Linked DNA regions of Arabidopsis thaliana. The protein of the gene in region 2 interacts with the protein of the main gene of each other region in a biochemical or structural test. Each region holds a gene or a part of one and is shown on either strand. Other genes may lie near its edges.

Region 1 (7,203 bases), on a different chromosome or scaffold from region 2:
TATTTCACATCCCCACCGCCTGTGTATGCGAGGAACTGGGCGAACGGTCAAAACTTGGTCGAATGGACTAAGGTTCGTCGAGCACTCAATTCTTGTGATTGATTCGCTACGGTGTCCTCTTGTCTGAACATGGGTTTCTGTGTTCGGTCAGAGTTAAATTTCCTTATAATATCCTCTTTGTAGCCAGATCTCTAGGTTGCATATAAGTTATTGATTGGTTAAATTGTAGGAAAATATCTTCAGCATAGATCTATGAATTGAATCTACACTATACATGTTTTAGCATAATGAATTTCGTTCTTAACGATGTCGTGTAGACATGTATGTTAGTTTGGTTTGGTCTCCAATTATAAAGTCAACCATAAAGACGCGTTGTAGATATATGTTTTGAGTAATTAACATTATGTGTGTTTGTGGTTGAATGATGTTACCCACGTATATGGGTATCTGGTTGTTTGCCTGATAAATCCTTCCTCTAGTCTAAATCCTTTATTCTGATTGGATTATAAAGATCGAAAGACCAATAGTTGATTCTAAAAAGCTGCATCGGAAAGAGAAGAAGGAGAAAAAGAAAGAAAAGAAATTAAAGAAAGAGAAGAAATCCCTTGAACAGAAGTATTCCACAACCAAGACAGTCTCATATGAATCCGAACAGCTTGAGAAATCTTGTTTAACAGAAGAATTTGAGCAACCTCAGGTTGGATATTTGTCTGATGGTAGCCAGAACAGTAAGAAGAGAAGAAGGGAAACTTCTCCTGCTGTTGTTGAGAGTCAAATCAAAGGTTTGTGCTTTGTTTCTTCCCGGATTAGATGAATATCTTTATTGTGTTTGAATACATATACTGAAACAGAGACGTTTAATCATTTGCAGCTACACCTGTAGCTGGTAAACCACTACGGATTCGTATTGTTTTCAAGAAACCGAAAGAAGCTGAAGCTGTACCTCAAGAGGATCCTGTTTGTTCCACTTCAGGGACTCAGAGACCTAGCGAATTACCAAGTTCTGTCTCTCTTCCAAGTATCTGTGATCATGATGTGGCTGTACCCTCAACTTCTCTTGAGAGTGGCAAGGTAGCAATTATTTCCGAATCAAAGAAGAGAAAGAAACATAAGCCTAGCAAAGAATCCCGGTACAATTCATTGTTTGATGAATTAGTTCCTCCCTGTATTTCCTTGGAGGAAGATGATAGCAGCAGCGATGACTGGCTTTTTGGAACAAGTCGGAAAGAAAATGTTTCTTCTGCCAAGTCTTCTTATAAGACTGATGAAGACACGATCATGAGCTTGCAGACGTCAAGAGATTGTTCCTCTTTGCCTAGAGCTATGTTATTGTCTGAAGTTGGAATTTTTTCATTACCATATACTGTCCCGTTTTAGGTCCCATATTGTTTTGTTCTTTCTCAGCTTAGCCTTAGGCCTTAGCTTTGTACAGTTATCATTGTAACAATCACAGTGATCTATGATACTTGAACGATCTCTGTATTTTTGACACTAATCAAAAATCATGGTTTCCACTTACTAAACTATCGTCTACATGATTTTTGTCAACTGGAAGTTTTTGGTTGAATTGATCAATGCGATTGCAAAAGCTGGCTACTTTTAAATAAGCAATTTCTTGCAAGAAGTTGACTGGTTTAGCCGTTCCCCAGTTTAACTTCTTGCTTAGGCAGCTGGAGAAAGATCTCTTTAAGCATGATGCTTGGTAAGATCACATGAATATACATCTTGTGGGAAAGAAGCAGAAAACAAGAGCTCTTAAAAACAAAATAAACGTTGCAAATATTAATTAGATTCATTTGTTAATACAAAATGATCCTCAAGAACAAAAGAGAAGAGAGACAGAGATTAGTCTACATAGCAAGAGTACAACACACGGTCTCTTAGTCTGTGGACTCGAAAGATTCACCAGCAAAGAGTAAAAGACACAACAACAACAAAGCTCGTTTTAGCAACTATACAAAAAAGCTACTAGAAATGTCTCCCTTCACGTCGAAATTATCATATTAAAATGGGCCGAATCAAATAGTTGAAATCATCTTCTGCTTCTTTCTTTAGTTGGTTTTACCTAGTCTTAGAGGTTTTTCTTATCACAAGAACGCGCAACGGTTCTTATTCTTTTTCTTCTTCTTCTGCTTTGGTGGCTGAAGCACCACTTTTATAGCTGCATCAAACACTGCCTTCACGTTCTGCAGAAACACCAAAAGGAAAGAAATAAAGCTCACCCTCTTGATAAGATCAAATATTGCAAACAGTGAGGAACAGGACAAGCGATTTGTTATGTATACCTGCTGTGTCTTTGAACTACATTCAATGTAGACAGCAGATCCAATCAGTTTCTTCAGTTCCTCTCCCTGCATCATTCAAAACAACATCAGACAATTCTATTAAGAACTGGCAATCATTGCAAGACTATTCGTTTAAAAGGATATGTACCTGGTTTGTAGTAATTGGCACAGCACCAGGATGATCTATAAAGAATTGCTTGTCATCTCGAAGATCTGCAGCAAATACCAGTGACTTAACAATCAAATTTTGCAAGAAAACTTAACAACTTCGTTGGTGTCACAAGGCTTGTAGGAACGTAACCACAGATCTTTCAGTCAAAAAAATAGCATGATCAGTTCAATAGGGAAAGTGTGTGATTACCGAGTTTTGTCCCAACAAGGATAATGGGAACACCAGGAGCATAATGCCTGAGCTCAGGAATCCACTGAGAGAGGAGGAACGAAATCAAATAAGATCACTCATCAACACAAACTGTATAGGATTTATCAGCAAAAGAGAGACAAACCTTCTTGGCTATATTCTCATAGCTAGCCTTGCTAATAAGAGAGAAAGCAAGAATGAAAACATCAGCACCACGGTAACTCAAAGGTCGTAACCTGTTGTAGTCCTCTTGACCTGTTAACAAACCCCACAAACACAAACTAAGTCAAAAACAACCGAAACAAAAGGAAAATCCCAAACGGTGAAACGAAAGAATTACCAGCAGTATCCCACAATCCAAGATTGACAGTGTTGCCATCAACAACCACATTAGCACTGAAGTTGTCGAAAACAGTTGGCACATAATCCTGAAACACCAATCACAAGTCACAGATTTACACCTTATAATCAAAATCATCCTTTATAAAAAGCAAAAACAAAACACAGTAGCTTCAAGATCAATACTTTGGCCTAGATTCTCAAAGTCTTAAAACAAAAAAAGTTGTAACGAAATTGATCAATTTCTAGTATACAGCTCCATGACCTAAAATCTACACCTGAATCCAATTTGCAAAAACCTTGCAGATCACTAATCTACTCTTGCAACGAGCTCAACAAAAAAATAAGAAACCGAAGAGATATTGAAATAGGAGAGGAAAGATTTACAGTAGGAAAAGTATTGCTAGTGTAAGAAATGAGCATGCAAGTTTTTCCGACGGCACCATCTCCGACGGTCACACACTTTATAAACCTTGACGCCATCTCTGCCGCAAGATCGGAAACAAACAAAAAAGCCCTTAAAATCAATCCTCTTTTGTGGTTGCTTCTTCCTCAAAACCTCGACATTTCTAGCTCGCCAATCAAATTCGAGCTCTAAAAGCTTGTGAATCTGAGAATCACCCAAATTCGAAAAAGAATCGAAGAGAGAAGGAAAAGAAGAAGAAGAAGGTTGATTTGGCGGTTGATAGATGACTTTGAGAGGAGCCTATAGGAGGAGGGGACTAGTAGAAAAACAACAACTCTGAGACAGCTAAGAGAACAGCACCAAACACCTCCTTATCATATACACTCACTCCCCTTTTATTTATATTATACTTTTTATTTTCACCTCTATTTTTCTTTTTTCAAAATTTTGAAAGTCTCTTTTCTTTTATGTCACGGATTTTGAATTTTGAAATGGAGAAGATCTGTCAGTTTTTTTTAAACAACAAGAAAAATACAATTGTCATGAATGTTTTTGTATTATCTCTTTGGTTTCTCAACAGTTTTTAAATGTTTTTAATAATATATTTCGTTTAACACTTTTTTATTGTGATACATATTTTCATTGTTGTTTTGAGTTAAAATTGTCTCTTAAATTTGGACTAAATCATTGACATGAAGCCTAGAGAAATCTTAGTAAGGTAATATTTTGAACTATCATATATTGTCTGAACAATGCAAGTTTCAAAATCCTAGTGTGTTGTGTCTTTGGACTTGCACTGCCACTTTGATTCTTACTGGCATGAGACTTATCCAGTTTTGAGCAGTTTTCCATAACATTCTTTTTGTTCACAACTTTATTAAAACATAGCTAACGAAGTTTTGATTATCAATATTAGCAGTAAACGAAGTCGCTTATCTGTCTAATCCTCTTGGTACCTACCAAAACAAGATAAGAATTCCATAGAAGTTTATCATTTCACCAAAACAACAACTAAAAGTTGTTATCTTACTTAGTTTAACCATGTATCGATTATTTTACAAATAGTAATTGGTAAAATATTATACCGTCTCAAAACTATAGATTTTCTTCAAATAAAAACTTTCTTTAGCTAGCGAATTTGAATCCGCATATCCAGTTATAAGACTCCCATTCACAACATCTTCTACAACTGCCAGTTCTCTCGTATGTAATGTATCAAGGGAGGTAAATTCAAATGATCTAAGATAGACTTTATAGTATAGCAAAAAAAAAAAAAAAATGGCATACGAGAGAGACTTAAGCAAAATACGAAGAGGCATGAATGAAATCTTTAATCATTGGATTTGGCAACTCTCACTCATCAAGAACGTGCCGGCACGATTCATAAATGTCTTATTTATGATGTTTTTACTTATTTTCTCTTTTCGATTCCCCTCGGATTACGAAACATAGGCGACTAGAGTCCAATGGGACGTGCCCAACTCTAACTAAATCAATCCACTAACGATCCACCACGTCACTGATTGTCCCATCACCTAATCATAATCACACCAGACGGTAGCTTCTTATAATTATTTGTCAAACTTGATGAATTAGTAGCTAATTGCCATCATGTGTTATTTTCAACTTTTTCATTCCATAAGACTATATATATATATATATATTGCTGACCAAAAAAGAAATTGCTTATATTGATTATATGCTTACTGAGTTTAATAATGAAAATTAGAAATGTAATAAAGTTATCCACAAATATTTATCAAATGACCGTGATAAATCGTACAAAATTATGTGTTAATTTAACCACTCATAATTTTTTTAATAAACATTTATCATGTGGATTTGGATTTAAATAATCACATTCAATGATAGTAGCACAAACCACTAAATTGTACACGAAAAGTATGAATTAACCAAATCATGATATCAAAGAAGTTAAGCTTAGTAGCTTACCAACTATTCAGTATTCACCAACCAGTGACCAATCTCTCTTTATTAACTAACTTCACTTCTTTTCTGTTCAAAAATCTTTTTTCCTTTTTGATAGAATAATTCAATTACTGACCAGAATTCTCTAAGAAATAGATGAAAAAGACAATCCATAATCACTATTGCCATAATCCAATAAGCTGCAAAATAATTCAGAAACGACAAAAAAAACTATCAGAAAATGTCACAAGAAATAAACCAAAAGGTCCAAACAATAAAATCCATATGAACTATAAGGCTTATACGTGGCCCATTATACTGTGTAACCCATTATTCTTCGAATCGAGCCATAGCAACCAACATGCAACAAATATAGAAGTTTTACGTACATAGGAAGGAAGGCAAACAAAAAGTGTTGTTTCGTGAACCCTAAGAGAAGAAAACACGAACCTTTGAAGTCAAGAAGAATTTCTCCACTGAAGCTCAATCTGAATACGACCATTCTTGGAATCAATCAGATGATACTTATCGTTGATTCTCCGATTACTCACAACATCCCCAAGATTTATCACCACGTAACCAAGAGTTTCCTGATCAAATCATATATCAAAATGTTAGTTTTTGCTTTCTCAGAGATACGATTTTGATGCAATCTTTAAAGAGAGATCTGATTTTGTTTCTACCTTGGGATGAATTAGTCTTGAAGAAGAACTTATGACTTCAACGTGTAGCTTATCGTTTATGGGAGGCTCATCTAATGGGAACTGAAAATCTTCATCCCATCTCGGTTCTCTGTTTTTCTTCACACGCTACAAAATCAAACCAAAATGTGTAAAATTTGATGTCCTCTCATATGTTTCCATTTTGAGTTTTAAGAGAAGTTTTATATATACCTTTGTCTTACGCTCTTCTCCTCTGAATAGCAAACGAACAGAAGGATTAGTGTGATATTTGCCTTCTAGATCTTCAGCTTCGTGAACTATCACCACAAGCAAGCCACCAGTAGAAGGTGTGCCTTCTGGTGCTTTCTCTACTGCATTTGGATCATCAATGTTCTCTGGAATATCATCATCCTTAAAAGGTTTATATTCGACTTCAACCACGAGCTGTCCACGCGATTTCTCGCTAACTGGCTCTTTTGGTTCCATGGATTTTAAGAGCTCGAGTGTCATGAGTTTTGGCTCCTCTGGTGTAAGGTCTTTGAGTTGAATCACATTCATTCCTATCTTATCATGTTTACCAACCTGAAATATATCAAGTGTACATAAGGCAAATTATCTCCAGCAATTATTGAAACAAGCCAATTCACAAACTGGTTTTACCTGTTCCCAGTCATAAACAATGAGCTGTAGCTCTTGGCTCTCTGGTTCTTTAACAACCAAATCGAATTCTTCGTTCCATTCAGGATTCAGATTACTGTGTTTAACAACTGTCTTCTTACCAGGAACCTTGTCTCCAGAGAGTGTTAATTTCACATAAGGATCTGATCCACCCAGAAGATCCTTCTTCTTAAGCTTTATTGCCTTTATGACCTTCACACTAAGCAATCCAACAGGTTTCTTCATAGCTCTGCAGATTGCGCAAAATTGAATTATAACAAAAATTTCAAATAGTAACACAAGTGTGACATTTGACAAGAAAAAAAAAGAACTTACTTAGAAGGATCCATTATTTGAACATTCAAAGTCTTTGGCCATAGGTACATGTTTGCAACCTGATCTTTAATGATTTCCTACAATAGTAATAAACAATAACACAAGAAACAGAGTTTCAGGTCCGAACAAGAATGTTTCCTTACATGGGAAGTTAAAGGAACAACTTCCAAAACGTCTTTACCTGGACAAATCGGTATAAGCCAGGAATCGCCATTACATCTGCACCTA
Region 2 (7,442 bases):
ACCTTGCTGACCAACTCTTGTAATATGTGAATATAGACTCCGAGAGCCTTGAAACAAATATATCAAAACCATGGTCCACCTACAGAAAGAAGACAGGAGACAAGAAACGATAGTATTGTTCAAGGAACCTTTTCATTCAAGAAGACCTATAGGATTATACCTGTTGAGATCAGAATTGAAATCTAATTACCTCAGCTTCAATTTCATCATAGAGGAATCTCTGCCTCAGAACAACCAGAGCTTGTTGAGCTGAGTCATTATAAATGTCAAAAGGTAGCAGAACACTCTCAAGAAGGCCTGAATTCTGGGCTTCCAGAATGTAGTCTATCAGCATCCATGGTAGTGAACACTCAATCGGGAACTGCAGTAATGAACGTATAATTTGTAAGAACAAGTCAGGGCTGCAGTGAAAACAAAGTGGCAAAATATAGTTATAACCTTTTTGTAATTCCGCATACCTGAATAACACGTGAAGACTCCAGGTAAAATTCTCTAAACCACAGGAACCCCAGATCAGTCAATATTCCAATACTTGCTGCAGCCATCGTAAATTGAAGTTGAGGAGTCAGCTTACAAAGCTATTGATATGGCTCAATAAACCAACCAAAAAGACATTTAAGCATGTGGGTTACCCGAGTAGTCCAATATGTGCAAGAAAAAGCTGAGCTTGTAAAAAAAAGTTTCTAATTGCTTTAAGTCATTAACAGGAATCTCAGAGCCATTATTTCCAAAGAATCCCCCTGGCCTCCTCAGATTTCCACCAGAGACAACCTCATATATCAAAAACTGCAAGCAATGCACCTGAAACAACAAAAAAGCAAGAAGTTCAAGCACTGGATCTTACCATCTGTTGTTGTACTTAAAATCATCTTGAAATGGACCCAAACCTGTGCTGCTGTTGGGGCAACAGGCCTCGGATAAAAGAAATTCCCTCTGCTTTCATCATTTCCATGTTGTGAAGATGGCATCTCATGTTCGGGCCTGGTATTTGCCATCCAGTCAGCTGAAAGTGTCCGCATATCAGAAAGAATCCTGAAATGCAACCATACATATGATAAGTTAACAATATGCAAAGCTTAAGTTTAAGAGAACATGGACTTGAAACAGAAAGAAAATAAAGGAAAACCAATTCACCTTGAGAGATCTTTCTTCTTTCGGAAGGTGGTACGCAACATTGTGGCTAACGTGTTCTGTACAAAATCTTGAACTTCGGCATGTATTGTCTCCCATAAAGCATCTGCAACTAATGTGTCACAGCGCTGCAGCATCGATCCTACACTCTTTATATAGCCAACAAGTTCTACCAAGGCTTTCCTTTCTTCTGCAGTATAATTGAACCTCACCACCTATTTAAAAGAATCCAAAACTTGTTACCATAAAAGATAAAACTTTTCGAAAATATTTCACAAGTATTACCTTCTCGTAATCAGAATATGATCCGGAGGCTTCAGGAGTCTCTCCTGCATCCCTACATGGGCGAGAGAATTTCCAAGCACATTGCTCCCAAATGCGTGCTGTCCATCTACTTAACAGTTGGAAACCTTCAACAACCATATCGTACATGTTTCCTTTGACCTCTCTGCACCATTCAGTATATGCTCCATCGTTTGACTTCAACAGCAATAACTGCATGAAAGCAAGTGAGAACAACATCCTAGAGACTCAAAATAAGAACAAGAAAATTGGAGCTCCAGGGATAGAGATAGCTTGAGCACCTGATTCATGGATGAAGCAAATCGGATTGTGAAATCGTCATGCTCAGCACGGAGAGCTCCAATGTGATTGACTATCAAATAGTGCCTCTGATATGTAAAATATGTTAAGGCTTGCAATTTTCAAAGCATGTGTACGGTTAACAATAATCCAGATAATAGTTAAAATAGGCAAGTAACAGTGAAAATATTAAAGGATATTCTAGCGCTTCACGTGGAGGGAGCTCATGAGGTGCTGGAAGAGTCAGAAGGCGAGTCTGTGATGAAAACTTTTGAAAGTATACCGACAATTCTTTCAAAATTGCAGCAGGAGAAAGATGGAGATCTGGAAACGCAGGAATGACAGGATCATTCTGATAGCCGAAAAACACACAACAAATATGACAATTAGCGACTTGGAAACAAGGCTTTGCGGTATATTGGTTGTGAATGCGAAAACAGGTATAACATGAATCTCAATACCTTGAAAATGTTTATCAATCTGTTGAGTTTTACCCTCTTGTATAAAGCCTCGGTATCTTTCTCAGATGGTGTTGCTAAGACAACAAGAACAGGTAGAACCCGGAGAAGAATATACCGCTCAGGAAAAAGTAGTGCAAAATCCAACTCCAGAGACTCCACGATGAAGACTATGAGAACTTGGAGAATATCTTCCACACTGAATTTACTAAGGAATCCAAAAGCTTGCAATATAGTCAAATGGCACAAGGGACTTGAGCAGCATGCATATCTCAGATAGACAAACCCATAATAATGTCTTTAACAGCCACACGATGGTGATAAATGTCTGGAAGAAAGGATACTTGTTTACACGGAACATCTCAACGTGCAGGTTGAGTAAAATAGCCCATCTTGTGCTCAGGAAGATCTGCATACATAAGAACTCACATTTTCATTTACGACAAACCACAGGGGAAGGCATTATCAAATGATTGCATAAACAAGCCATGCAAACACCTGCAAGTCGTCTAACTCTTCTCTCATTGTATCTGTATCTTGCCACTGCGCACTGACTTGAGTGAATGTTCTGAAAAGAGTGAAACTATCTTAAGAACATAAACTAAAAAAAAAAGCTTCTAGGAAACTAATTCAACTCTTAAATAGAGCTTTAGTAGCTGAAAGGATTAGTAACAAACATCGATCTACCTACATTCAAGTGTCCTATTTGCAGAAAATATAGATAGGAAAGATAAAAGTATTATATCTTTCACCTCTTATACCAAGAGAAATCATTAGGAATGCTAGCTTTAGCATTTTTAAGATGATCCAGCTGAACCAAGACGTCAAGCAACTTTAGCATTGACCTATATTAAGTAAAATCACAGTTAAACTATATACACGAGGAAAGTTAATCATCCAAGGATCTAATACAAAACACAAAATAAGAGTTATAACCCACCAAAGATGTGTGACTGTGGGACCATTGATCCGCCGTTCAGGTCTGGAAAACCGCTGCATGTCAGCAGCTAACTGCACAGACAGAGAATATACGCACATTATTTCTGATACAGGAATTTATATAAAACGAGTTGGACGAGGAAGGATATACACCGCACTTTAGCTGAAGCCGACGATTGCCATCTTTGAATTTCGCGTAAACGGCTCATTTCTAAGTCCAAAACTTGATATGTTTCTAGATACAAATCCGCTTGACTATGCTTCATAGATTCGGGAAGCTGCATGTATATCATTAATAAAGAAAGTTATGTGTGTTATGGAAGAAATATACACAACAACACCCAGCAAGAAGTACTGTATTTGATATTATTTTCAGTAATTTCTATCATTCGCTATTATTTATACAGAGAACTTTGTTGTTGCTTTTATTTTTGCATTATAACTGCATTATACTTTGTAGTTCAAAAAAGAGTCTCGTACAGTTGCTACGAGATTTCGAATACCATGAAGAACTAACGCATAGCATAATTCTCAAAGCTACATTTTATCAGATAAAATGTCTAAAGGTAGATATGCAATGGAGACAAGGAGTGTAGTGATAGATTTCACAAGGACCTGAGGCAGTGCTTTGACACAACTTCTATATGTGTATAGAATTGACGCCATCTCTTTTCCTTCTTGTATAAGTGTATTCTGCATATATACAATTGGTTGAAAACTTACTTGAAGTATTCAAATATAACACGATTAACACAACATAACCGTAAAAATATCAAATCGTAATTTAATCAGTCTTTCTAAGATGAGGCAAATGAAGAAGAATAGCCATATACCAGCTGGTTAAGAGCTTTTGTGTCTTCTGATAGAGACAACCGGTATGCAGCGACGTCACTATATTCTACAGAATAGTAATAAAAAAAAAAACATCTTGATTATTTGGATTTTATGGTAAAAGAGTGACAAGAGAACAATGAAGCATACCGATGGGACTATCGGTTGCTGCTCTTTCAGCTGAAACCATCACAGCCGGTCCTTGGACTTCTGGTTGCTCATCCTATAACCAAAATTCAAAATGCTTCAAGAAAATGTACTAGAGTGACTTCAAATTTTTCAAGAAGCTACTTAAATCTTCAACATTTCGTTGAAACTTATTTTACTGCTAACTTAGGCAAAGATCCACAGGTGATTAAACAATATATGTGATAATTTTACACGAAAAGGATTTAACAAGAAATAGAAACAATAATTTCATATCCTTTCTAGAAGAAAATTTTGAAATATGAACTCCGGAAAGAAAATTTGTAGTCAAAAGGATCCAAAGACCCACAATTTCTAAATTTTACCAAAATCTAGAATATCGAAGTTACCTCTAAGGAGAATGTGGAAAGAGCTGCGATTGCTTCCTCTACAGGAACCGCCATTGAGTCACCTGGAAAGATCAGACGAAGCAATTAGCAACATTGGGCGACTAAAGGATAAAGCTTTCAACTTTAAGGCTCTTACCCAACAACAATGGAGAGGAGAGGAGAGCTGCTACTACTTCAAGTCAATTGATTCGCCTTTCTTCTGATTCTTTACGGACAGAGATCGATAAATTCGCTACTACTCTGTCCGAACCAAATATTTCGCAAAGTTGGAAGCTTTCTTTTTCTATTTGTTTTTCTGTAACAAAAAAAAAATGTTTCTTTTTGGGTCCTCGTTTGTATTTTCACCTTTCAGAATTTTTCTTTAGTACATATTTGTTCAATCCGATTAAAGCTTTGAGAAGAAGCATTACATTTGTGTCTTTACTATGAAGCAAACTTGATGACAGCTAAATCATTATTTACTGATTCCTTTATCCTCAACCATTTCTTATTTTGGGAAAATACATAAGAGTAATACCAGTAACAAAACAAAATAGATATAAATACAATTTTACAGTGAACAACTACTGAACATAAAATAAGTTACTTTGTAGAATCAGTAACAACTTTTAAGGTTTAACCGGAGCCTTAAACCAATCCGGATAAGAACCAGCAGGTGTTGGTGCTATCGGTGTGAGCATGTAAACCGTTCACGGTTAAGTGTTAGTAGCCTAATGGAAAGGACATGCCGTCTAAGTCTAACCAGAAATTTTTGTTGTAAAAACATATGAATTGAGAATGAAACTCTAGAAAAAGCGAAAACTGTCTTGGATTCAAAATAAAGTACTTTCTTTAGCTACAAAAATAGGGAATACAATAAAATGGAGACGAAGATGATTAGAAGAAGAAGAAGAAGAAGAAAGAGTAAATTATTCATCCAATTGTTTCAAAAGCCTGAAGAGACCAGCTGCTTCTCGAACCCGAGAAAACTCAATGCAGAAAGCTTGAACTTCTATGAATAGATCCTTCACTGTTACATTTTTTACCCAAAAAAAACATATATCACCCACAATTGTACATCATACTAATAGACTATAAAAGCTTCCTCTGTGAATGTATCTAGTGATCTTTCTGTGTTATTAGCAAAGCAAAACGCCTAATTTGATAGCAATCAGTCAGAAACAGAGAATGCATACCGTTGATGATCTTGTTACGAATTAAGCTTTGCAAGAAGACGCAAACAAGCCGTACAAGCCTATTCTGCATGTATTTGTCTTGCTGCTACAGATCGAAAACAATATATCACTATACCGTTAACAAAACAACTACATTGAAATCAACAAATCCGAGAATCATATACACAAAGCACATAATGCAAAGCACAAGCAGAAGTTTTTTCACACAAGATTATAGGATGGCGTTATGGATACTCATAGAAAGCTTTGTTTTAAGTACCTAACGGGAAATCAAAAGGACGCTTTGTTTTAATACCTTAGCGTTCTCACAAGACGATATGCAATTAGTGATGTACATCCGTATGAAGTCCTTGGGAAGTTCAACTGCAGTTGTGAGCCTATTCACAACTTCCATTGAGTGCAGGCTCATGTCCATATTTCCTAGAGCTTCATAATAGCTGAAGAAGCATTCTTAGATTCCCACTTTAAAAGTTATAATTTTGGTCGAAAGTAAATGGTGGAACCAATAAGGTGATGACTTACTCATTAATCTCTGTGGAGTTATTCAACTTGGTGAGAATTTCAACTGCTATCTGAGGATTGTGCTCTACTAATTGCTGAGAATAAGAAACTAGATCACATGAAAAAAAGAAAAAAGAAAAAAACCACCTGCCAGAAAATGAATCACATACCGGCAGCTTCCGTGGAGTTATTCCGCAGTGAAAGACAAGCTTTGGGTCATTTGCCAATTCTGTAATGATGTCCTGGCCAGTAAATAAATAAAACAAGTTATTTCAATCACTCAAAAGATCCAGGTTTTCTAAATTCATCAGCTATACGGGCAAGGCTGATGAAATAAAACATCACAATCACTATTTATCTATTGCACGGTTATTTTCCATAAACTCTTACTGCAGTCAATTCCTTCTTAATATCCTAGATCTTTAAATCCAATGAGAAAGGAAATACTAGAGTGATAGCACGAGCACGACTTCTCTCTCAAAACTACTGCCATACAATGGCTGCCTTTACAACCTTTAAAATTTGTGCATATGTAGTTACTGTCCCATTGCTATGTTAACTTGCTTATAAGTGTTAGAGTAAGATAGGTAATAAAATGGTCAATACTTGTATGATTTTATGCGCATATCAAGAATTAACGAGCGATAACATACCTCTTGCTCCGTAGGTGAAAGTGTCACCTTTAAACCCTTAACAAGCAAGTCTCTAACTGTTGCACCACTGCTAGTATCAGCACACATTTTATCGTCCCAAACAAGCTCATGCTTGTTATCAGGGTCAATCCAAAGCAACTGTAAGAAGTTGAACCATTTAGGTCAGTTCGATAATTTTCTGAACCAGTTGAATAAGGGGTTATTCTTATTTTTACCTCGCTCTGATGAACTGGGTACCTTGGTGGACATGGACGGATCCACCTAGGACCTAATCCCCCCATTGTCAAATTTCCTAAGAATCCAGATAGTGCCTCATCCCTATCACCAGATCCAATTCTGGGATTCACTCCAGCTTGCACATCAAACCTATAAGATTATTTGACTCAATGATCATTCATACAATCAACTTCAAATTGGCACATTAATTATAACACAGAACATTAAGCTTGGAGGAAAACTGGAAGCTTGAAAGAAATAGATCAGATTCAACTGTATATAACAGTTAGAAAGAAACAGAATCCCCTGACTCATAGGTTACGTACTCTGGAGAGTTAGGATCACACCCACGAGGAACATCAGGATCATGCAATAGCTTTTTCAGGGAATAGTCTGCAAAAATGTGACTAGATGGTCCAG

The links.
Region 1: the proteins of PIR121 (region 2) and ROP2 form a complex in vitro, tested with the Arabidopsis thaliana proteins (one study listed by BioGRID).

What each region holds. Positions count from the first base shown.
Region 1 is NC_003070.9:6,963,488-6,970,690, reverse strand, and holds ROP2 (RHO-related protein from plants 2), read right to left. Parts: upstream 3,850-7,203; 5' UTR 3,469-3,849; coding exon 3,373-3,468; intron 3,075-3,372; coding exon 2,987-3,074; intron 2,902-2,986; coding exon 2,792-2,901; intron 2,711-2,791; coding exon 2,647-2,710; intron 2,499-2,646; coding exon 2,434-2,498; intron 2,352-2,433; coding exon 2,286-2,351; intron 2,187-2,285; coding exon 2,088-2,186; 3' UTR 1,682-2,087; downstream 1-1,681. Other genes in the region: AT1G20100 (DNA ligase-like protein), read left to right, coding at 1-72, 512-782, 872-1,377; SYTB (Calcium-dependent lipid-binding (CaLB domain) family protein), read right to left, coding at 5,779-5,910, 6,004-6,129, 6,214-6,564, 6,643-6,889, 6,976-7,052, 7,157-7,203. UniProt on the Arabidopsis thaliana protein: Inactive GDP-bound Rho GTPases reside in the cytosol, are found in a complex with Rho GDP-dissociation inhibitors (Rho GDIs), and are released from the GDI protein in order to translocate to membranes upon activation.
Region 2 is NC_003076.8:6,100,253-6,107,694, forward strand, and holds the start of PIR121 (transcription activator), read right to left. Parts: upstream 4,729-7,442; 5' UTR 4,614-4,728; intron 4,540-4,613; 5' UTR 4,532-4,539; coding exon 4,478-4,531; intron 4,165-4,477; coding exon 4,092-4,164; intron 4,009-4,091; coding exon 3,944-4,008; intron 3,804-3,943; coding exon 3,726-3,803; intron 3,389-3,725; coding exon 3,269-3,388; intron 3,183-3,268; coding exon 3,112-3,182; intron 3,017-3,111; coding exon 2,924-3,016; intron 2,740-2,923; coding exon 2,670-2,739; intron 2,581-2,669; coding exon 2,516-2,580; intron 2,371-2,515; coding exon 2,175-2,370; intron 2,066-2,174; coding exon 1,914-2,065; intron 1,810-1,913; coding exon 1,716-1,809; intron 1,627-1,715; coding exon 1,417-1,626; intron 1,347-1,416; coding exon 1,135-1,346; intron 1,033-1,134; coding exon 888-1,032; intron 802-887; coding exon 633-801; intron 536-632; coding exon 459-535; intron 362-458; coding exon 191-361; intron 80-190; and 2 more. Other genes in the region: AT5G18420 (CCR4-NOT transcription complex subunit), read right to left, coding at 5,386-5,486, 5,653-5,737, 5,948-6,089, 6,175-6,248, 6,324-6,395, 6,807-6,944, 7,022-7,172, 7,349-7,442. UniProt on the Arabidopsis thaliana protein: Involved in regulation of actin and microtubule organization. Part of a WAVE complex that activates the ARP2/3 complex. Interacts with the active form of RHO-family GTPases.